Xenopus tropicalis: one gene and its partners. The protein of the gene in region 2 interacts with the protein of the main gene of each other region in a pairwise test. Links are inferred from orthologs where the notes say so. Each region holds a gene or a part of one and is shown on either strand. Other genes may lie near its edges. The genes, in order: fkbp6, nme7, shtn1, fosl1 and tchp.

Evidence for each region.
Region 1: the proteins of nme7 (region 2) and fkbp6 interact in binary tests that used the Homo sapiens proteins (3 or more experiments, as listed by UniProt). The two-hybrid records come from large-scale screens. The link is inferred for Xenopus tropicalis from reciprocal best matches to the Homo sapiens genes NME7 and FKBP6.
Region 3: the proteins of nme7 (region 2) and shtn1 interact in binary tests that used the Homo sapiens proteins (3 or more experiments, as listed by UniProt). The two-hybrid records come from large-scale screens. The link is inferred for Xenopus tropicalis from reciprocal best matches to the Homo sapiens genes NME7 and SHTN1.
Region 4: the proteins of nme7 (region 2) and fosl1 interact in binary tests that used the Homo sapiens proteins (3 or more experiments, as listed by UniProt). The two-hybrid records come from large-scale screens. The link is inferred for Xenopus tropicalis from reciprocal best matches to the Homo sapiens genes NME7 and FOSL1.
Region 5: the proteins of nme7 (region 2) and tchp interact in binary tests that used the Homo sapiens proteins (3 or more experiments, as listed by UniProt). The two-hybrid records come from large-scale screens. The link is inferred for Xenopus tropicalis from reciprocal best matches to the Homo sapiens genes NME7 and TCHP.

Annotation. Positions count from the first base shown.
Region 1 is NC_030678.2:41,854,907-41,859,963, forward strand, and holds the start of fkbp6 (inactive peptidyl-prolyl cis-trans isomerase FKBP6), read right to left. Parts: upstream 3,375-5,057; 5' UTR 3,287-3,374; intron 1,048-3,286; coding exon of another isoform or gene 1,021-1,047; coding exon 930-1,020; intron 436-929; coding exon 346-435; intron 1-345. UniProt on the Homo sapiens protein: Has an essential role in spermatogenesis. It is required to repress transposable elements and prevent their mobilization, which is essential for the germline integrity.
Region 2 is NC_030678.2:55,292,252-55,296,607, forward strand, and holds part of nme7 (nucleoside diphosphate kinase 7), read right to left. Parts: intron 4,057-4,356; coding exon 3,946-4,056; intron 2,439-3,945; coding exon 2,388-2,438; intron 1-2,387. UniProt on the Homo sapiens protein: Possesses an intrinsic kinase activity. Displays 3'-5' exonuclease activity with a preference for single-stranded DNA. Does not seem to have nucleoside diphosphate kinase activity.
Region 3 is NC_030683.2:5,248,778-5,253,133, reverse strand, and holds part of shtn1 (shootin-1), read right to left. Parts: intron 1,871-4,356; coding exon 1,705-1,870; intron 1-1,704. UniProt on the Homo sapiens protein: Involved in the generation of internal asymmetric signals required for neuronal polarization and neurite outgrowth.
Region 4 is NC_030680.2:37,719,257-37,724,199, forward strand, and holds the end of fosl1 (fos-related antigen 1), read left to right. Parts: intron 1-2,021; coding exon 2,022-2,216; intron 2,217-2,800; coding exon 2,801-2,908; intron 2,909-3,324; coding exon 3,325-3,768; 3' UTR 3,769-4,222; downstream 4,223-4,943.
Region 5 is NC_030677.2:147,324,292-147,328,647, reverse strand, and holds part of tchp (trichoplein keratin filament-binding protein), read right to left. Parts: intron 4,213-4,356; coding exon 4,156-4,212; intron 3,617-4,155; coding exon 3,548-3,616; intron 1,337-3,547; coding exon 1,163-1,336; intron 223-1,162; coding exon 110-222; intron 1-109. UniProt on the Homo sapiens protein: Tumor suppressor which has the ability to inhibit cell growth and be pro-apoptotic during cell stress. Inhibits cell growth in bladder and prostate cancer cells by a down-regulation of HSPB1 by inhibiting its phosphorylation.

The DNA of each region.
Region 1 (5,057 bases), about 13 Mb from region 2:
AATCTTGTTTCTATTCAACCATACCTTGCCACCAAGTCAGGAGTTCAAAAATAACTACATGGTTTGGGGGCACTGAGAGCAACATCCAAGGAGATGGTGCGCAACATGTTGCTCACTAGTTACTCGTTGGGGATCACTGCTCTAGTCTGCTGCATGCCTCTGGCTTACTCCCAGCCCTTGGAACAATGGTAACCTATGTAAAGAAGTTACCTACTCCTAAACATAAATGGCTACATCAGAGAGGGGTTATGCTGACAAATGGTTAACCTTGTGACTCTTCAGTTTAAGGAGCATACAGATGTATGTGTCAGTAAGTACAACAGACTGTGTGTGTATTCTTCTTACCTTCACCTAACTTCATCATTTTGGGGTGACGTCTGTAGCAACTTGTGTCAAATGGTTTGTCAGCATGTTCCAAGTAACCAGAGTACTTGACTGAAAAAACATCAAGTGCTGCATTAAGAACCCAGGACTCCTTAACCAGCTACACATTACATTAGTCAATACACACAAATATATGCTAAAAACACACCATTTATAAAGTTCCATGGCGACTCATTTATTTTTAAATATTGATGACATTTTATGGTAGTGCCAGGGCCATCAGAGATAAATGACATTGTGTACATCACAGATAATTAGATTCTCATACCACAGATAAACAAATGTCCATTATGCAGAGGGATTATCTGTGCACTGGGAATCTGATTATCTAAAAGATCATAAAAAACATTTTTGTTATTAAAATAATAGGAAAAAAGTATGTTCAGCACAAGTCCTGCTCATTGAAATTGTACTGTAAAGGGTCTTTACCGTCCTTAACAGAAACAACCAATATCATAGTATAATGCATATATCTATTATATAGCAATATGTCCAAGGGCTTGCCAGTTTCTATATGTAAATATGGTACTGCAGGAGCTTTTTACGTATTACTGTTGCATCACAGGGAACCTTCCCTCCTTTTCCGGGCCGAATCACTTCTTTCAGCACCCCTCTGTCTCCAGATACATCTTCCATTTGCTGTGCCAGCTGATGAAATACAGACTACAATGAAAGCACACCGGTCAGTAAAAGATGGTTCTGCTTTACAGAATAACAAATCAGTAACAAGACATACCCCTGAAAACAATAATCTACAGTACATGAACTTTTTATTTAAAAGGTTTAAGGTCAAATCAGATCAATGAATTCCTGCTTTTGCTTCAAAAGCTCTACTCCACTTATATATACGGCTGTGTAACCATGGGTGCAGCCACTGAAGGTGAAATTGGGCTTTAGAGTACAAGAGGTAAACTGTTCAGTACACAATGGTTTTTGGCCTACGGCACACTTGGCGGATTCTCCACTGATGGTTTCCAGATGGTGACAAAGGTGGCCGAGGTGACCAATTTCATTTCATTAAATAACAGACTGAAAAGCCACGATTTTAAACTTCTCTGCTGGTGGATCATACACTCCATGTGCGGCAGGACTTAGGTCTTAGACAGAAAGATATACATCTGTAGGTGCTTGGTGAACAAACAAAAATTAAATGCAATGAAAAAATGGTAAAGTTCACCTTTTTTTGTTTGTTCTCTCTCCAGTTGGATATTAAAGCTGTCACTGGCCAGAGCAGACAGGCATGTGCAAATGTCAGAAAGAATGATAAATAGGAGATTGCCATAAAAATTAGCAAATTAAAAAAAAAAAAATATATCCTCCAGCCCCAATCTGCTTTTTGATTACCAGGCCAGCAACCAGATTGTTATTTGGAAAGGTGCACGGATAACTTCCACTTGCAACATGCTAGAAGAATGGAAATGTTCCCTTTACAATGTAATATCCCATCAGGGGCTGAGACACAGGGAAAAGGAAGGGAATTTTTTACCACTTGTATGAATGAGAAATGAATTTCTGCACAACCCTGTGTGCCATTAGCGTAATGTATAAATATGATGGCCTAAAGATGCAGGTCTTATTGTCAAATATTTGACAAGTCCCTGTTTAAAATGTCAGAGACACTAAAGGTGGCGAAAATTGCCCAGGTGTCAATCGAGCAGGTTTGAATTTTCCTTTGAAACAGGGACTGCATTGGGGTCCTTGCTTCAACGGTCCTATTCCTGTGATTGCAACCTGATCGTTTGTCCCAAGGAGCCTGGCAAACTCACCAAACAAGCGACTCTTGCCAAATATTGTCATCTTAAAAAGCGCGATCAGAAATCAATTTAATAGGCAAATAGGTATAACATTAGATATGCTAGCTGTGCCAACATCACCATTCAGTACTATTTTATTCAGGGCTGTCTGTGTCCAGTGGCTTAATGTGAATTTATATGAAGCATCTTTTGTTCCACAATTCCTCTACAACTCTAAAAGGTATTGCAGAAAATATGAGACACACTTACATACTGCTCCCTATAACAATTATAGGGAAATTCTTGGGCATGGCAAATGGGTGAAAAATGCCTCCAATCCATATTTACATATACTAATTTCATAGACAACACCAGGCTAAAACACCAGCACAATATACAGAAACACTACTTTCTACTGGTTAGCCCAGTACATTATACAATGGCCGCTCTCACTCATGCACATTATGCTTTAACAACTAGTCACAGGCAGCGTACGAGCAACCACAGAACATTATACAGGAATGGGACCTGTTATCCAGAAAGCTTAAACATTAAATAAACCCAACAGGATTGTTCACCTACAATAGGGATCCCAAGTTGGGATCAAGTTCAAGGCACTGTATTATTATTACAGACAAAAAGGATTAAAAAAAAAAAAAAAAAACTTGTTTAAAATGGAATCTATGAAAGATGGTCTTTCCATAATACTGACATTTCTTAATAATGGGCTCTGGATAAGGAACCCCATACTTGCTTTCTCCTAGGCTCCAAGTACATCATAATGTGGGAACCCTAAATGTAGAATTGGGGTGCATCTAATGTGTAATATAATTATATAAAGAGACACACTGGGTAACTAGGGCACTTACTAAAACTTTGATTACATTTACTAATTACACTGGAAGTGGTTTCTGGAAAACTTGTAGATTAATAACTCTGAAAGCCTTTTACTTATTCAAGGGCAAACTTCATTCCTATGTTCAAAATCAAATTTTACATTCTTGTAAATGTACATTCTATAAATTCTTGCAGACATGTTATCCTCAAGTACCAATCACTGACAAACAGGCGCAGGTACTGCCGGCATTAACCTCCTGCACCAGGTGCTAAGTTTCCATTTCCATAAGGAAAGCTGTGTTTATAAATGCGATTGTTCCTAATGGACAAACTTGTTCTGTGCGCTTTCCTAAGCATATATTGTGGGGATTTTACACGGCCACACATCCCCACAGCCCGTGTCCCACACACTCGGTAACACCGCCGCTCTCACCATCATGTTTCTTCCCCCGCGGTCTTTTCTCAGACTTGCTCTTTGGGCGGGCCTGGTCATGTGACAGGCGTCTCACCAATCAACGTGAGCTGTATGTTAGCGGCTCTGAAGGGAGGTCCTACAAAGTGATGATTGGGGGCAGGAGAGCTAGTTGTGGCCGCGCAGTAATAGGATTCCATGGAGAGCCACACTTGGCCTGGAAGATGAAGTTGGTTATGTTTTGAGAAACTGTTAGTAGGTGGAGTGGAAATAGAAAGTACCAGTGAAATGCCATGGATGGGCAAACAGAAAGCCTTTGCCTGTGGGGCATGGGAGATCATTTAGGAAGTAAATCAGTGAAAGTCCAGGCGAAATTGTTGTCCTAAAGTGCTATAAAGCTTGTGCTAAAGTAAACATTTTTTTCTACCCAGGTTAAAATGAAAATAGGCCTTGAAATATCAAGATCACAGGGGTCCAAACAACCCCCCCCCCCCACTGTCTATGGCATCTCACAGCAGCCGCTATGGCGTTTGCAATTGCACTGCTGTAGCATATAATTACAGTACCAACACAAGTAGCAGAGAGACCTGAGTGTACCCCATCAATACAGTGCTCTATTCATAAGGGCAGTCAGTTTGTGTGTAAGCATATTTATATGAAGTGCATATTAATATGAGGATATAAATATACCCTTCAAAGCCCCCACCCCCTTACATCTAGCTAGCAGGTACTTTACCTTGAGCTGGATTTTATTAAAGGAATACTGTCATGGGAAAACATGTTTTTTTTCAAAACACATTAGTTAATAGAGCTTCTCCAGCAGAATCCTGCATTGGAATCCGTTTTTCAAAAACAGATTGTTTATATTTAATTTTGAAATTTCACATGGGGCTAGCCATATTCTTCATTTCCCAGGGTACCACAGCCATGTGACCTGTGCTCTGATAAACTTCAGCCACACTATACTGCTGTGCTGTAAGTTGGAGTGATATCCCCCCCTCCTAGCAGCTGGTCAGCAGAACAATGGGAAGGGAGCAAGATGGCAGCTCCCAGTAGGTATCAGAATAGCACTCAATAGTAAGAAATCCAAGTTCTCCAGTTACATGGGAGTAGGAGAAACAATAGGTTACCTGAAAGCAGTTCTAATGTGTAGCGCTGGCTTCTTCTGAAAGACTCTAGTTGCATGGGAGCAGGAGAAACAATAGGTTATCTGAAAGCAGTTCTAATATGTAGCGCTGGCTCCTTCAGAAAGCTCAGACTCAGGCACAATGCACTGAGATGGCACCTACACACCAATATTACAACTAATTAAATGTTGGTTTAAAAATAAAATTTTAAATGACAGAGTGAATTATTTGCTATGTAAACAGTGTCATTTAAAATAAAAAGTTTACCACAAAAATCATCAAGTTCATGAAGGCTTTAGAGGCATAAGAGGCCATATAGCTTTGTATGTTAATTGTTATAGAGAAGGCGCTACATTTGAATAAGGAAATGGTAAACGCTAGGCTAGGCCCGCATTCTAGCAGCCATTCCAGTATGTCGCTTACAGACTGCCCCACAGGCCCTAGACATCTGAGGTTCCAGGAGACTGCAGGGGTAGCTGGCACTTCTCCCACACCACTCACATCTGTCAATTTTCTAACTAATTATCTAAGAAATGTGGCACAGTTCGTGTTTCCCTTATCAGC
Region 2 (4,356 bases):
CAACTTCCTCCCACTGTCAAAGTCACTGTGGGAAGAAACCTTATTATGTAGACTGACTTTTCCTTCTCTCCAAATGTGTTGTTTCTTTGTGTTTCTTTCCCCATAAGCACCCTGGCAGATAAGAAGTTTTGTCGCCTGCAGTAAATCTTTGCAACTGCGGACAACAAATCTCCCAAAAATGCCTTCTCATTGCCTAACATTTGGACCTGGCAATGTACACAATGTTGTAGGCAAAATTGAGTAATGGCTAAAAGGTAACTAGAGGTTAAGATGGAAACAATAACAACAAAGGATTTCCGAGAATAAAAGAAATTAGTACTTGTGTATGAGGATTTAAAATACTGGAATAGGGGTTGAATTCAGGAGTGTTGACATTATATATCAGCAGAAAATGAATGAAAAGTGATATATCTGTGCTGATATACTGTAGGTATATAGAATTTCTTGTGTAATGGAATGCTGAGGCCAATGTTATCTGTTTTGTATTTGTGGTACTAGTGGTGGGTGTGGTGTTATATGAAGCCAGTAAAGGATTAGAAGGTGGGTGGAAATTAGGATTACAGAGGTTGTTTAGTGAGTAGAACTTCTTTGGTAGCAGTACAGGCATGAATCTCAATTGGAGCAAGTGAGGGCCTGTCCATGACCTTCTCAACTGTTTTTGGCTGATCTGGAGGCATCTTTAAAGGCATGTAAAGCCTACATTTGCCTACAAGGTATATCAGTTGGGCATGTCACCCCCACCATAATGGCATTATTTGTACTGCATATATCCCCCTCCATCACCATCACATTTTCCTAAAGCAAATAGCAGCTTTCACACGGTGGCCATTTTTCCTCTGATGCATAATCAGATACATTTATATCTGCAAACAGCATACACACACATACCCTTATTCAGCATTCAGCTGAGCTCAGGAGAGGAGGTTAGGAGAAAAAAAGAGAAGCAGACAGCTAGAGCTGAGTTTATATGGAAACCAGCAATGCCATCTCTTCACTGGCTGCTAGTCTGAAGGATGTGTTTAGTAATCTGAGTTTAGAACAACTGAGCATGCCCACAAGCCAATAGCCAAAGCAAATTCCTGATGGGAGGGGGCCCAAGTGGGTTTCAGGAGGAGAAGGAAATCTAAGTGATTAAGGGTATGTTGCAGCCTTCCTATTAACCTCTGGACAACCAGAGTGGCAGGTATTGAAAGATTTCAGAGGCTGTTCACTGATTACATTTTTGTGTGTGGGTTTTACATGCCCTTTAAAGGCAGCAAGTTGAAATAGTGTGCCAAAGTTGGATTAGCTGTGGGCCAGAGTAAGTGTAAGGGTACAGTTGAAGGGGAAAGCATGTGATAAACTGCAAATTTGAGAATGCTCAGGTTGTATGATAATTGCCTTATAAATAGGCACTAGGACACATGGTTAAGTGAGCAAAGGCAAGTGGACTAACACCAGGGGGTGTAAACAAAATAAAAAAAATCCAAACAAAACAGGGACATGAACATCCAGTTAGGATACCTTAATCTTCCCTAATAATAAAAGAGAATCTCTAAAACTATGTCAAAGCATATATATTTTTCCATAAGCAGGTTGTTCACAGGTGTGCATATTTACAAAAGGAACTTGAGCTACAGCCTGAGTTATTCCAAGGTTCCCATAGCAGGCTGCGTCAATAGGTGCAACAAATGTAGAGACACTTGCAAAAGACACAGTAATGCCATTTGAATAATGCAATCCCCACAATGAAATTTTGCACTTGCTTCAATTTTGTTGTATCAGATACTACTGTGGTTAAAGGAACAGTAACACTAAAAAATAAAAGAGCTTTAAAGTAATAAAAATATAATGTACTGTTGCCCTGCACTGGTAAAACTGGTGTGTTTGCTACAGTAACACTACTATAATTTATATAATAAGCTGCTGTGTAGCCACGGGGGCAGCCATTCAAGCTGGAAAAAAGGAGAAAGGCACAGGTTACATAGCAGATAACAGATAAGCTCTGTAGAATACAATAGTGTTTTATCTGTTATCTGCTATGTGCCTGTGCCTTTTCTCCTTTGAATGGCTGCCCCCATGGCTATATAGCACCTTATTTATATAAAATTATAGTAGACTTTCTGAAGTAAACACACAACTTTTACCAGTGCAGGGCAGCAGCACATTATATTTTAGTTACTTTTATACACTTTCATTTTTTGGTGTTACTGTTCCTTTAAGACAAGCCACAATGACATTGAAGTTGTGGGTAAAAAAATGGCAAATTGCAGCTAAAAATTGCACACTGCACTCACAGTCGTAAATGGGACTTTATATGTCAAATATGGTGACAAAATTGTCCACAGTGTACCGCAACTGAATTTTAATCCCACTTTACCTTCTGTAGATCAACTTTAAAACCATACCTAAAAAATGATTTTGAATGATGTTCATTATAAAAGTCCATTGCTTCAGTTCTGTAAAAAAGAATAAAGAGATGTTACAGCTGCATTTCTTTTCCTCTTTACCCCTGGCAAATTTTGTCTTATATTTTACATTAGGGGATACACTATACAGATGAATGAGTAAGATTTGGCACCCATGGCCAAATAACACATCTAAGCTAGTTTAAGTGAAATCAGCAAAGTAAAGAAAAGAAACTGTGTGTATGTAAGTACGTACGTACGTACGTACGTACGTACGTACGTACGTACGTACGTTATCCACGCCGTTATCTTTGAATCTTGGACAATTAAAGGGAGTGCGGACAGTGTGAGGTATTTTTATTTATATATATGTATAAACACACACACACAATTTATTCACTTTGTCCAGCCTTACCCTCTGTATTGTGTACTTTAACTTATGACAGTTTCTTTCAGCCCATTTCCAGTTCTAGGCAGCTAATATAATGGGGGTGGATTTGCAGAATTGATATGAACCACACTGAGAAATAACCGCAAGCTAATATAATTTACTAGAGCTTAATGACACCATTAAAGTAAAGCACATCAAAGAGAGGTATAAATGCTGATTAAGGTGGAAAAACAAACACTGGTATTTAACATTGTGGCTGATCTGATTTAAGAAAGTGGATAAAAAAATACTAATTTAACTTTATGAGACAAACAATAGGGCAATAGCTGTCATTCACTACCAGCTGAGGCTAATTTAATATGTACTGGTTTCTAACTAAAACTTTCCATGCCGCCTCTTGTCATGGGACACATCTACAGTGGTGCTGTCAAAGGGAGGCAGTGTTCTCAGATTCAGGTATTTCTCCATTGGTGGACATAGGCTGGCAGATACAACTGTCCTACCTACCTTTCTGATTTGAAAACATGGACATTTTAGAAAAAGACTTCCATAATTTACCCAAATCTGGTCCCCTCTGGGTGCTTCATTCTTCAGGTTAACTTTTAGTATGCTATAGAATGAACTGTTCTTAGCAACGTTTAAATCGGCCTTTGTTTTTTGGTTTTTTTTTATAGTTTTTAAATTATTTGCCTTCCTCTTCTGACTCAAGAAAGATGCTGAACAACAGGCTAAATAATTAAAAACCCACAAATAAAAAATGAAGACCAATTGTAAACTGTTTTGGAATAGCACTCTCTAGATCCTATTAAAAGTTAATTCAAGGCTGATGGCCCACAGAGTTAGTCGCCCGCAATAGATCTCTGCTACTGTGGCGACTACCTGCTCCGAAATGCCTTTCCACCAGCGACAACAGGAGTCTCCGCTGGAGAGGCCTACGCATTGCTTTGGCTTCCAAAGTTGCACAAAGTTTCCTCCTGCAGGCAACTTCACGCGACTCTGGAAAGCCGAAGCAATGCACTGGCCTTTCCACCGGCGACTTGTTCCGTGAACAACCCCTTTAACTAATTATTAACTTATTACCCATAATTTATAAAGTTCCAACATATTCATTTCAAAATATGCAAAGAAATTACAGCACAACTGCATCAATTTTATCATAATATTTACCTTAAGAGCAAAACCATTTTAGCCTTTGAGATTACAAACCCTGAGTCCAGTATGGCTTCAATAATTGAACCCATTTTTGTTACAGCATCTGGTTTTATCAAAGCTAATGTTCTGCAATAAAGAAAATATAAATATATTTTAGAATGCATTTGCTTTAGGTAAAACAATGTATTAGCATTTTCTATTTCTGCAAGCTTTTGAGAATTTATTACTGTAATCAGCTGCAATTTTAGCCACTGTCTCTCAGGCTGGCTCCTGAAAAGCTTTCCCTCCCTCTTTTATTGTCTGGGTTAATATCCAGTTACAAAAAGCAAGAAAAAGGTGTCAGGCACTCTCTATAGCAGGGACAACTCTCTGGATTTTCTAATAGCTCATATTAAAAGATACCATAAATTTGTGCCAACATAGGCA
Region 3 (4,356 bases), on a different chromosome or scaffold from region 2:
TGGGCCCCCTTAGCCCATAACAAGGTTACAGATATATAGAAACATTGGGGTAACAGTCACCCCGCTATAGTTCCAGGGGTAACCCAGGGCACAAATAAGCACTCACCCCAAAATCCCCCCTAACTGGCCTTCAGGCTGGGCCCCTTAGCCCATAAACAAGGTTACAGATATATAGAAACATTGGGGTAACAGTCACCCTGCTATAGTTCCAGGGGTACCAGGGCACAAATAAGCACTCACCCCAAAATCCCCCCGTAACTGGCCTTCAGGCTGGCCCCCCTTAGCCCATAACAAGGTTACAGATATATAGAAACATTGGGGTAACAGTCACCCTGCTATAGTTCCAGGGGTACCCAGGGCACAAATAACACTCACCCAAATCCCCCCCTAACTGGCCTCAGGCTGGGCCCCCTTAGCCCATAACAAGGTTACAGATATATAGTAACATTGGGGTAAACAGTCACCCCGCTATAGTTCCAGGGGTACCCAGGGCACAAATAAGCCCTCACCCCAAAATCCCCCCTAACTGGCCTTCAGGCTGGGCCCCCTTAGCCCATAACAAGGTTACAGATATATAGAAACATTGGGGTAACAGTCACCCTGCTATAGTTCCAGGGGTACCCAGGGCACAAATAAGCACTCACCCCAAATCCCCCCCTAACTGGCCTTCAGGCTGGGCCCCCTTAGCCCATAACCAAGGTTACAGATATATAGAAACATTGGGGTAACAGTCACCCCGTTATAGTTCCAGGGGTACCCAGGGCACAAATAAGCACTCACCCCAAATCCCCCCTAACTGGCCTTCAGGCTGGGCCCCCTTAGCCCATAACAAGGTTACAGATATATAGAAACATTGGGGTAACAGTCACCCCGCTATAGTTCCAGGGGTACCCAGGGAAAATAAGCACTCACCCCAAATTCCCCCCCCAATTGGCCTTCAGGCTGGGCCCCTTAGCCCATAACAAGGTTACAAAAATTAATAGAAAATTCATTGGAGCCGGAGAGAACAAACAACCCCCCACCCAATGAAAAAAATAAGGTAACAGTCACCCCGCTATAGTTCCAGGCGGGTTAACCACATCAATGATAGCATCTTCACCCAAATCCCCCCTAACGGCCTTCAGGCTGGTAGGCCCCGGCTAGCCCCCCTATAAATACACACAGGTTACAGAATACTTATAGACCACATTGGCCGTGCATGTAACAGTCACCCTGCATTATGCTTCCAGGATGGTACTCCAGGGCACAACTAACGCCACTCACCCAAATCCCCCCTAACTGGCCTCAGGCTGGGCCCCCTTAGACCCATAAACAAGGTTACCAGATATAATAGAACATTGGCCCAGACACAAACAGCCCCCCAGGTACACAGGTCACCCTGCCTCAGGTATAGTTTCCAGGCCCAGTACCCAGGGCACAAAATAAGCACTCACCAATCCCCCCTATACTGGCCCTTCAGGCTGGGCCCCCTTAGCCATAACAAGGTTACAGGATATATAGAAAATTGGGGTAACAGTTCACCCCGCTATAGTATCCAGGGGATACCCGGGCAACAATAAGCACTCACCCCAAATCCCCCCTATACTGGCCTTCAGGCTGAGCCCCTTTAGCCGGATAACAAACTGCCGGTTTTACACATTATATAAAGACGACTACCAGCTACCCCTCAATAACTGGTAACAGTTCACCCCGCTATATTCCTACCTTTTATTCTCTGTTGGCAGCTCAGTGAGGAGCAAACAGAAGTTTCTGCTTCTTCGGCCGATGGTTCTTCTTCATCTAAGTTGATCTCCTTAGTAATGACGTCGGGGCCCAGTTTGGCCATACACAGCATACTAATCCGTTTCAGGGTCTTGTTCTCTTTGTTTAACTGATGGAACAGAACAAATTGAGAGACTGAAGAACACAAAAAACAAATCCACGACACTGGGGAATAAAATCCCCCTCCCAAATTTTTGGGCACTTTCCATGGGATGAAAGAGCACTCGGCACCAAGCAAAGTTGAACCTTTAGGGTCGATCAGGTGAGAAGTTTTCAAACCAGAAATAAAACATTGAGAGCGCAGCGCGAGGAACTGGGGGTGCAAAGTGCCCGTGCCGCTCTCCCCGTTGGCACATTTCCGTTCCGGCACATTGGGAGAGTGGGAGAGAATGTCTCACATTCCCAGAGCTTGGCCCTCCCAACCCTGACAAGTGATCTCCCTGTTCCATCTGCCCACGGACTGGTGGCAGCCAAATGCCAACATGGAAAACCTGTCAGGGTCCTGCTTCCAGGAGACACCTCTGATCCTTCTCTTAAAGGGACAGCGTGTTCATCCTGAGATGGCAGGACAGGGCACAGTTATTGGCGAATTGGTGCCATTAGTCAAAGAGGGATCCTGTTCTCAGCCTGAAAACTATAGGCCTGTTAGTCTGACATCAGTAGTAGGAAAGCTTTTGGAAGGGGTAATAAGGGATAGGGTACTTGAATACATTGCAAATCACAATTCTAGTTTGTGTCACATGGTTTTATGTGTAAAAAATCTTGCCAGGCTAATTTAATTGCCTTTTATCTACTGAAGGTTGAAAACAAGAACCGTATGAGACTCACAAAAACTGCTACAATTTCCACACGCCGAATGCTCCCACCTTCTCGCTGCTGGAAACTTGGATCTAAATTGGAAAAACTGGGAAATGAGTTCATATTGGGACAAGTGCAAAGTTCTGCCCCTTTAGGTAGTGAAAATCCCAGATAAAAGCACATAAATACGATCTCCACCAGCTCCCTATACCACTCTACATGGAGCGAGTTGGGGGGAATCCTTAACTGAGAATGATTGGGGGTATTTGTGGATAACAGATTGTGCAACTCTAGGCAGTGGCTACTGAAGTGACTAAAGTACAAAGTAAAAATAAGGGCATTAACTCAAGGGATGAAAATAAACTTTTGCCTATTGAGTCCTGGTTAGTGAGGTTGGAAATGCCCTGCTGGAGGCGGGTTTAGAAATCCCTTGACTGTCGGGCGTAGGTTAGAACAGCACATAATCGCACCCGCTCGCCTGCGGCTGAGTTACGCAAATGCCCGCTGTGGGTTGAGATTAGCAACAAATACACTCGCAGCTAGCCTACAGAGAACAGGGTCTAGAAACATGCAGCCTGCTGGTTGAGGTTGGAATGCCCTGTGGGTGAGGTTAGAAAAATGCCCTCGCTGGGTGAGGTTGGGAAATGCCCTGCTGGGGGAGGTGTAGAAAATGCCCTGTGGGCGAGGTTGCGAAATGCCCTGCTGAGGCGGAAGGTTAGAAAATGCCCTGCTGGGTGAGGTTGAGGAAATGCCCTGCTGTGGTGAAGGTTAGGAAAATGCCCTGCTGGGGAGGTTAGAAAATGCCCTGCTGCGGTGAGGTTAGAAAATGCCCCCTGCTGGGTGATAAGATAAATAAAAGGCATAAAAATAGTGACTGCTGGCACCTACAGCCCCCCTCATCCCATACCCAGAGCACAAACACCCCCCCCCCTCGACGGTGATACGCCCAAAGACACTCAATATAATATAACCTTGGCGACCAACCACCCCTCACCCAACCCAGAGGGAACTTGGGAAATTAGCACCAGACCCCCCTGCTGCAGGGTGAGGTTAGAAAAATGCCCCTGCTTGGCGCGCGCTTGGAAATGTCCCTGGACTGAGTATGAGGTTGGGAAATGCCCTGCTGGGGGGTTTAGAAAATTGCCCTGCTGGGTCGAGGTTGGGAAATGTCCTGCTTGGGTGAGGTTAGAAAATGCCCTGCTGGGGGAGGTTAGGAAATGCCTGCTTGGGTGAGTAGAAAAAATTGCCTGCTGGGTGAGGTTAAGAAAATTGGCGCACTGCTGGGTTGAGTTTAGAAAATGCCCTGCTGGGGTGAGGTTAGGAAAAATGCCCTTGCTGGGTCCGAGGTTAGGAAAATGCACCTGTAGGGTGAGAGTTGAGAGTAAATGCCCCGGTGCCTGGGTGATGGTTAGAAGAATGCCCTGCGTGCGGTGAGGTTTAGAAATTATGCCCTGCTGGGAGTGACCCGGTTGGAAATGCCGTTGCTGTACGGAGGTTAGAAATATGGCCCTGCTCGAGGCTCAGGTTCGGGAACATCGCCTCCTGCTGGTGAGGTTAGAAATATCCGCCCTTGCTGGGTAGCACGGTTAGGAAAATGCCCTGCTGACACAAACACCCCGCCCCGCGGTTCGGGAAATGCCTGCGGTGAGGTTAGAAATGCCCTGCTTGCCGCCGCTGAGGTTAGAAATGCCCTGCTGCGGTGAGGTTGAAATGCCCTGCTGGTGTGAGGTTGCGGAAATGCCCTCGCTGGGTGAGGTTAGAAAATGCCCTGCTGAGGTGTAGGTTTGGGAAATGCCT
Region 4 (4,943 bases), on a different chromosome or scaffold from region 2:
AGCCCAAGAAAGTAAAATGTCAACTCCTACTCAAATGCAAATATGAGCATGAATGCTCTGTGTAAACAATACCTCAGTGTCATGCTGGTGTAAAGATAAGTGGGAGGCTTGATAAATTCTTAGAGAGGAGCATGTATAGTTGTCTGTTGTCTACCTTTTTAGATTATACAGGGATGATCTATATTTTGATACCCAAATAAATTCCTCAAAGTCAACATAATCAGAGTTTGTATCTTAACCAAGGGATCTCAAATGGTCATGTTTTCTTTCTCTGTTAGCTATATCTCCCAGCATCCTCAGTAGAGGTCTGCAGTTTTGACATACCTGTTGGGGAGATAGAAAATAGGATGATACAGTTCCTCTTGAGATTTCTGAAGAGAAAGTAGTGAAAATGCTGCCAATACCTGCTCACAGAGCCAGCAATAGACTCTTCCTCGTTTGTATTTTGTTTTTCCCATCTATAAGTCTCTTGCACATAGTTTTACTGCATGTGTCATGCATGTCTTGTTCTGACGCTTTAGGACAAGTCACCTGTATAAATTCATATGGCCCCAAAACAGCTCTTTTCATGCAGACTTTACCGCCCAATGCAGCCAATTCATGCTGCCATAAAAGGATTAGATTTGGCTAACCAGGACAAGTCCTGATACAGACAGAAAATGTGAAGCTATTTTAGCCTACGCCTTTGTTTCATCAGTAATAACTCCATTCGTTTCTGTTACTGTCAGAGGCAACATTGAGGTAGGTGCTCATACATTTTAAGATGTACCTAAGAATTTTAGCTGCAGGTAACATATGTTTGTGACTGAGTCAATTCTGCTGATGACATGCTTGGTACAGAATGTCCTAAACAGTCTACACCCTCCTTTGAAAATGTACTTTATCAAGCATCATCGCTGTATAAAATGTAAATGGCATCTGTGAGCAGTTCTTTAACATGGCAAGCAGGTCTTGTTACTCAGCATTAATGGTGGCTAAATTATACTCATTACACATTAATTATTAGGCTAAAGAGGATGGTATTAAATTCAATGGTTGTTTCTGAAATCCTGACATGCAGGAAGTATAGACGTTTGGTGCAGTACATAGTTACATAGTTACATAGGGTTGAAAAAAGACCATTGTCCATCAAGTTCAACCCATCCGAGTAAACCCAGCACACAACCTATACTAACCAATCTATACACTCACATACATAAACTATATATACAACCAGTAATACTAACTGTAGATATTAGTATCACAATAGCCTTGGATATTCTGCTTGTTCAAAAACTCATCCAGGCCCCTCTTAAAGGCATTAACAGAGTCTGCCATTACCACATCACTTTTTAGATTATACAGGGATGATCTATATTTTGATACCCAGTACAGGCAAGAATCCAGCTCTCATTGCCATAGTAAGCCACTTTAGTATAGAGTTTAGAAAAAAAAACTCAAGATGTCTGAGGTTTGGATTGTAGTTTATAAAAATAAATATATTTTTTTTATTGGTTTTCCACTGACAGCCTAGCGGCAGTTTTTGTTGTTTTTTTTACATTTTGGCACTCAGGTTCTAGTGTCCGGTTTTGAACAATGTACAATTATTATTGGTTGCAGTGATCTAGCTGAAACCAGAATATAGTTTATCCTTCAAAAATACCACTCTGTTCTGTGGGGAAAACTACAATTTAATCTGGAGATTGTTTTGTCACTCACTTTCCTTTCCTAAAGACTGGAATTTTAAGCTTCAGTTTATATAAAACTTGAGAGAGAGAATTGCTGCAGCACTTTATTCTGACAAGTATCTGCATACTATAAATTCATTTTCAGTCTAATATCAACTGTTTTTAAACTGCACCCCTGTTAATTCTGATAACTCATCCAGTAAATCAATGGAATTATATATATCTGTGTCTACTAGTTAATCATAACCATGTGAACACTCATAATAACGCACACATTTTTTTTTTTTCAAATAAGTATCAACCAAATATGCATATAAATCAAATTTACCTTTAACTTCCTAAATTCCTTTACAGAAGTATCCAGTTCACACATCCTCGGGTCAATTTATCCCAACATTGAATGCTATCACATCAAGTCAGGACCTTAACTGGATGATCCAACCAAGTGTACGCCCCCTGAATTTACCACCATACCAAAGCCCTCGGCATGGGGTAATCCGTAACATGGGAGGAGTCTTGAGTATGGGGCGAAGGAGAAATGGAGAACATGTAAGTATGCACATTATCGACTTATTAATAATACTTTGATTTACTTTACTGTTGTCCCTTTTAAATAAGCTGAGCATACATGTCATTTAAAATTATTATGAATTGAAATAATAAAATTGATAGAAAACATAATACTTTTTACCCAACCAAAATATAAGCCTTAAAAGTTAACTGTTTTCTTTCCGAGGCTAAAACAATAGTATTTTGCCAATTATATTATGAGGCTGAGAGAACATGATCACTACTTAAATCCTAATTACACATGCAGCGGAAACAGTTATTAGGCGACTCACCAACAGTAGAATGAGTCAGGTTGGGAAAGAGAGCCTAGTGGTGCGTGCCAAACCATGGTTTGAAGAGCGGGATAAACATTAATGCCTGACTCATAGGGTCACAGTCACTGCCAATCCCTTCATTCATGAGCATGGCAGGCAGGCAGTATTCATTCATGCCACCCCCTTAGACACATAATAAAGGTATTTTGTGGGAAGTGGCAGTGCCAAACCAGCTCCCTTACACACATATAACAACACTTCCATAAATTGGGTAACAGATTTATTATCTCTTTTTTTTTTTTCTCACAGCTGTCACCAGAGGAAGAGGAGCGAAGACGAGTGAGACGTGAGCGGAACAAGGTAGCAGCAGCAAAATGCCGTAATCGTCGCAAGGAGCTAACAGATTACCTGCAGGCAGTAAGTTAAATAGGGTAGTTGAATTACTGCAGTGATCCCCAACCAGTGGCTCGTGAGCAACATGTTGCTCACCAACCCCTTTGATGTTGCTCCCAGTGGCCTCAAAGTTGGTGCCCATTTTTAAATTTCTGACTTGAAGGCATGTTTTGGAGGCATAAATACCATGTGTACTGATAAACAGTGCCTCTAGTATTCTTCCAGTCCACATTGGGCTACGAAATTATCAATCTGAGTCCTTATTGGTCACCTACTAGGAAAGTTTTTGTGCTTGTGTTGCTCCCCAACCTTTTTTCATTGAAATGCTGCTCATGGATAAAAAAAAAGAGGGGATCCCTGAATTACTGGTCTAATTGGGGGTTAAAGTGACAGAAGTGGGCATAATATACAATACTTGATATCATTTTTACTTTAAATAGGAGACAGACAAACTTGAAGAAGAGAAGTCATCCCTCCAGAAAGAAATTGCTGAGCTGCAGAAGCAGAAGGATAAGCTGGAACTCATCCTTGAGGCTCACCAGCCTATATGCAAGTTTCCTGACTCCCATCACAACATGCAGCAAGTGGACTCCTCCAGGCTGGTTAAGAAGGAACCACATGAAGAGTCACCCAGGGGACCTAAAGTCAACCTTCCCAGGATAGAGCTGAGCGACACAATCCTAGAGCCAGAGGCCCTTCACACCCCAACACTCATGAAGACACCATCCATTACTCCTTTTACGCCAAATTTGGTATTCACTTATCCTGGTCCACAAGAATCATGTTCTACAGCGCACCGAAGGCTGAGCAGAAGCAGCAGCAGTGGTAGTAGTGGAGAGCAAAGTCCATGTTCTCTAAGTTCTAACAGCCTACTGACTCTTTAGAAAAAAGAAAAAATATATTTTTTACTGTGTGTGCTTCTGGGTCTGGATTCACCTGTTAGAAATCTACGCCAACCCAAAAGTTTTATAGACACTCTATATAGAATTTTATTCACTTTCTTAATAAGGCATGCTATCACTTACCTCATACTTCCTCTCTTAAGAAACCACATTACTTCCCAATTAATGATTCTAGTCAGATGCGTGACCTGTCATTATACGGTTACAAGTAAAGTGTGTGTATATGACTGCCTGACCTTAAATACGGTCCAGGGTAAAGTCAGCGGCTGAGCCGGTGTTAAATTTAGTGGCATTTTTTAGTAGGTTCCTATATAAAAGCAGCAGTAGAGCAGGTTCTCTCTGTATTTATTAAAAAGATATTTTTATATGATTTATGCTTGACATAGAAAACGTGCATTTTGATAATAGCACATTAATAAAAACCTGTAAGAAAATATCTCCTTTGTTTTTTCTGTAACAAACTTCATCAAGAGATTCCTCTGTGTGATTGCCTTAATCCAAAAATATGCATTGCCATCACAATGTCATATTTTATTGAAATTTATTTTCCAGTTCTTTATTGGGAGAGAGAAATGTTTTGAGTAGAAGCTATTTTAGCCTACGCCCTTATTTATCCATAACAGAAACTTAGTTTTGTCTCCCCATCCACTGTTTGAGTCTGTGAGGAGTTAAACCAAGCATTTCTGGTCAAGGCCAAAGTCACACAGAGCATCTGCTTCACTCCGCCTGCACTTTGTAGGCAGGTGGAGATTCAGCAGCTCCATGTAACTGCATTGACAGGCACAGCTTCCACCTTAGTGCACTTACACAGAGCCCAAAAATGGCTGCTTTCATGTCTTTCGGGTGGATCTCCGCTCTGTGTAGCTGTACTCAGGCCAAAAGCAGTGCAGCTACACAGAGCTGTGGAAGAGAGTGGATTCGCTTCTCTCTGTCTGCCTACAAAATGCAGGCAGAGAGAAGTGGAGCCAATGCTCTGTCGGACTACAGTATAAGGGAAATTGATAGTAAGTAACCCCTAAAATGAAAATTAATGTTTCCCTTAAAGAGTGTATATTTTTATCAAATATACTAAATCTAAATAGTGCCATCAAACCATAGGCCCTTGGGCTTCATAGACTTCATTGTATTGCGTTTTATCTTTTTTTTTTAATGCACTT
Region 5 (4,356 bases), on a different chromosome or scaffold from region 2:
CTTTCTGAAGTAAACACACAACTTTTACCAGTGCAGGGCAGCAGGACATTATATTTTAGTTACTTTTATACACTTTCATTTTTTGGTGTTACTGTTCCTTTAACTTTACCCTAATTCTGTTTTCTTTCTGTGCTCCTCCATTTTCCTCCTCTCCTCCTCAAGTTCTTCAATTTCCCACTGCTGCCTCTGTAAATGCTCTTGTTCTTTTTTCAACTTTTTTGCCTGTAGGAGAACATACAAGTGTATTATTAATGATACACTTTTGTTTTATCAGCTTGTAATGCGTTTCAAAAAGGAAGCAAGGGAACCATGGGAGATAGCTAAATTACCAAGTCCTGATTGAAAGAACACCTGTAGTCCAAATTACCAAGTCCTGACATTACATAGGGATGGCATTACTGAATTACCACTATACGCCAGAACTGGGTTCTAAGGGAAGCATATAAATTCATGCAAAGTCATGCCATCATAGGACACCTAGATAACTTCTTGTATTGGAATTTCAAATAGCAATCTTACTTCCTACTTACCAATAGCAGGTAAGCACTCCCCACAAATGAGTTTCTTCTGGACAGTTAACTACATAAGAGGCATCTGCTATAAGCAGAGTATTTTGTCTTAGGAAGCAAAATCAGGTGGGATTTTGAGGGAAGTGTAATTCGACAGCAGAACTTCTCCCTGAGAGCATTGTGGCAGTCAAATCTTCAGGGCCAAAACTAGGGGTAGGCATGAAAAACAAGTGCCTAGGGTGCAGTAACTATGAGGGACAGTTCGGTATATGGAGAAGCAACGTCAGCAGCAACTAAGGCAGTGCGGCAGAGGAGAAGGTGGTGGTGGGGGATGTGGGAATACATGTCAGCAGTGGCTACCGAAGAGGATGATAAGGACATGGCGGGTGGAAAAGGAGGAGTGTTGCAGACGAGCTGGTTGGGTATCAGGCCAAGTAGTATAGCCCTGGGCAGTAGAATGAATGTGTGGACATATATCTATACATTTCAGAAGTACATTCCCAGCCACAGCAAGGCAAGGAGTTTTTATGTTTCCCCAGGTAACTAGATTTCCTTTAGGTGTTTCTTGGCTGTGAAATCTGGAACCTCAAAAATTGCAAAACAAATATGGAACTAAAATGTGAAGTAATATATGCCATGCCTACTGCCCTCACCTCTAAATTCTTTAGCTTAAGCTCTTCCATTTGCTGTCTCAAAACTTCGGCAAGCTCCTCCTCCTGCTTTTGCCGTTTCTCTTTATCCCTTTTCATCCTTTCTATAGCTTCCCTTCTAGTAATTTCATATTCATTTTCAAATCTCTTTTTCTCCACGTCTTCCTCTTCTTTTTCCTGAAAAGGTCACAAGGCCTGCATTGTTATATATACACCATCTTAAAAGTAGAAAGCAACTGTGACTGTTTGGGAAATTGTTGTTTATTGTATGTTTTCTAATTTACATACATATTTACAAGTTTTTTCTGAGTTTTTTTTGGATAAATAATAAATAGGCATAAGTCAGATGGCATTGCTTGCCTATAGAAAAAAACATCCCCGGATGTCATAAACAGAAATTTATTTCTATTTAACACTACACTGAATGGCAATTTGGAGCAAATATGGTGAAATCCTTATGAAATCCTAAAGCAAAAAGATGCTTCTCTGTGTTGATATTTAAACTTTAAAGGAAATAAAAAGAATAATAATAATTATTATTTATAATAATAAAATCATATTTTCATTTTTTTTTTTAATGTACACAAAATGTTGTACCAGCAAGAATCATATAATCATATGGAAAGTGCCACAGTTCAGATCTTATTTATATTTTATGGGAGTGTAACTAAATTGATTACACTAGTTGTTATAAGTGCTACAAGGGATACTACCATGGGTAACTGATATAACACACGGGGGAAAATTCACAAAAGTGGTATTGGGAAAAAATAAAACCATTCGTTTTTGAAAAAGACAGTTTCCAGATTTTGTCTTTTGTATGACATTTTAAAAACATTTTTCTGAATCAGACTTAAAGGAACAGTAACGCCAAAAATGAAAGTGTATTAAAGTATTTAAAATATAATGTACTGTTACCCTGCACAGGTAAAGTTGTGTATTTGCTAAAGTAACAGTACTATAGCTAATATAAATAAGCTGCTGTGTAGCCATGGGGGCAGCCATTCAACCTGGAAAAAAGGCACAGGTTACATAGCAGATAACAGATAAGCTCTGTAGAATATAATGGGGCTTTATCTGTTATCTGCTACGTGCCTGTGCCTTTTCTCCTTTGAATGGCTGCCCCCATGGCTACACAGCAGCTTTGTTTATATAAACTATAGTAGTCTTTCTGAGGCAAACACACGAGCTGTACCAGCACAGGGCAACAGTACATAATGTCGTAATTATTTTTATACACTTTCATTTTTTGGTGTTACTGTTCCTTTAAGCTTTTCCTAAACCTGTCAGTCTGCCATTAGGTGACTCTTAGCTGCACATTTGCCTTGTAATAATGTGCCTTTCAGACAAGAGATTCTCATTAGGTTTTATCTCCTGTTAAAAGGGAGCTAAAACCTTGTGGCAATTTTTTTTCATTTTTGTGCCCAATGCACAGATCCTCCATTCTCCCTTCCCAACCACATCAGTAAAACTTGCACCAAATCAACTGGGCCACTGCACATCCAGAACTGCAGAGCCACAATGCCATCTTTGGCCATATTAATTCCATTCCTATAATGGATATCAACTAGGATAATATACAGTAGCCCTATATCACAGTTTGACTGTCGGTGTGCAAGCGCTGCTTGGTGGTCGCCAAGATGGACATTGGGAACAGAAGTGACACAGCTAAAGGTGGTGGCCAACACTGCTAAGCAACTCTGTAGTTCTGGACATGCAATGGGGCAAGTGTCAGTGACATGATTTGGGAAGGAGCTGTGTACTGGTGTTTAAACTAAAAAATTGCCAGGGAAGCTTTAGTTCCTCTTTAGGATGAAGACACACAGAGCTACCAATAGCAGCTACAGAAACAGACAATGCTGATCATTTACTGATAATTGTCCCTACGTGTGTTTTAGCAGAGGCAATTCTCAGTATTGTCTATGGCAGGGTATTTCTACCATTTAGTTGCCAAGACAAGTAGCTGCTCAGTGTGTCTTCGCCCTTCAGGTTTATACAATATATGTACTTTATTCATAAATAAAAAACTAGAAAATTATGCAAATGTGATGTTAAAACATGTTTTGTCACCTAATGCAGGAAATAAGCTACTCTTTTCTTCTCTGAGAAGTCTGAATTTAGGTTTATTTCTGTTTGTGAATAGGCAGATTGTATTTACCCTAGTTTTAATGCAACTTTTACTCCAAAAACTATTTCTTCACTTTTGTGAGCTTCTCCCAGTGTTACACAATTTTGGGAGATGGCGACTTACACGTGTCATATGTGCAGTGATTATATAAAAAGAACAGATCAGATTCCTAGCATTGTAGCTGTATTCCTTTTTTTTTTTTCTAGTCTTGTACAAAATGTGTGCCATCAACTTAATAATAGGTCATATGGTTATCTTACCTGGTTTTTCACTGTGATCTGCTCACCCCAAGCATCAACCACATGCTTTTTAAGCAGACTGGATTCAACCTATGAGAAAATGATTAAAACAATTGTCAACGCATATATAGCTCATAATTGCTGTACAGGTATTCTTCAGTACTGAATAAAAAATAAATGTCACAGTCACACAGGATCCCTACCCTGTCCATCAACCTCAATATTAAGACCCACTCACAGGATATTCTACTACAGGAGTTTAGGGTATGCAGGATTAATTTATTCTGAAAAAGGAAGTATCTCAGGTTTTTAAAACCTGAAGAGGAAGTTTACCTTTAACATTCTGGCTTCTGTTTTTAAACACTGCATGCAAGAAAATCTCATTTATAATAAAGATTATATTTAAAAAGGGGTAAATAAAAATAAGTATTAATAAGTTACTAAAAAAGGGTTATAAAATGCCTATAGACCTGAACAATAAACAATTCCAGCAACCATGGAAAACCAGTGATTTAAAATAGATGATAGCATGCAAAATGTCACATCCTTGGATCTTAAGATCATGGGTGCCAATACCATATGATGTTTAAAACTGTTACTTTTACTGTTACTATTTTCTTTTAACTTACCTCTCGCAACTTTACATTGTTCTTTTTCCACTGCTCATATAACAATTCCTCTGCCAGCTTGAAATGAATGAAATTAAATTATCAGTTCCTTATTAAATATACATTCTACTATAGCTCAATTATTCCACTCTTTCTATCATGTAACAAACTAATACTTAAATTATTTAGTATGACATTGCAGTACTGACTCACAGGTATGGG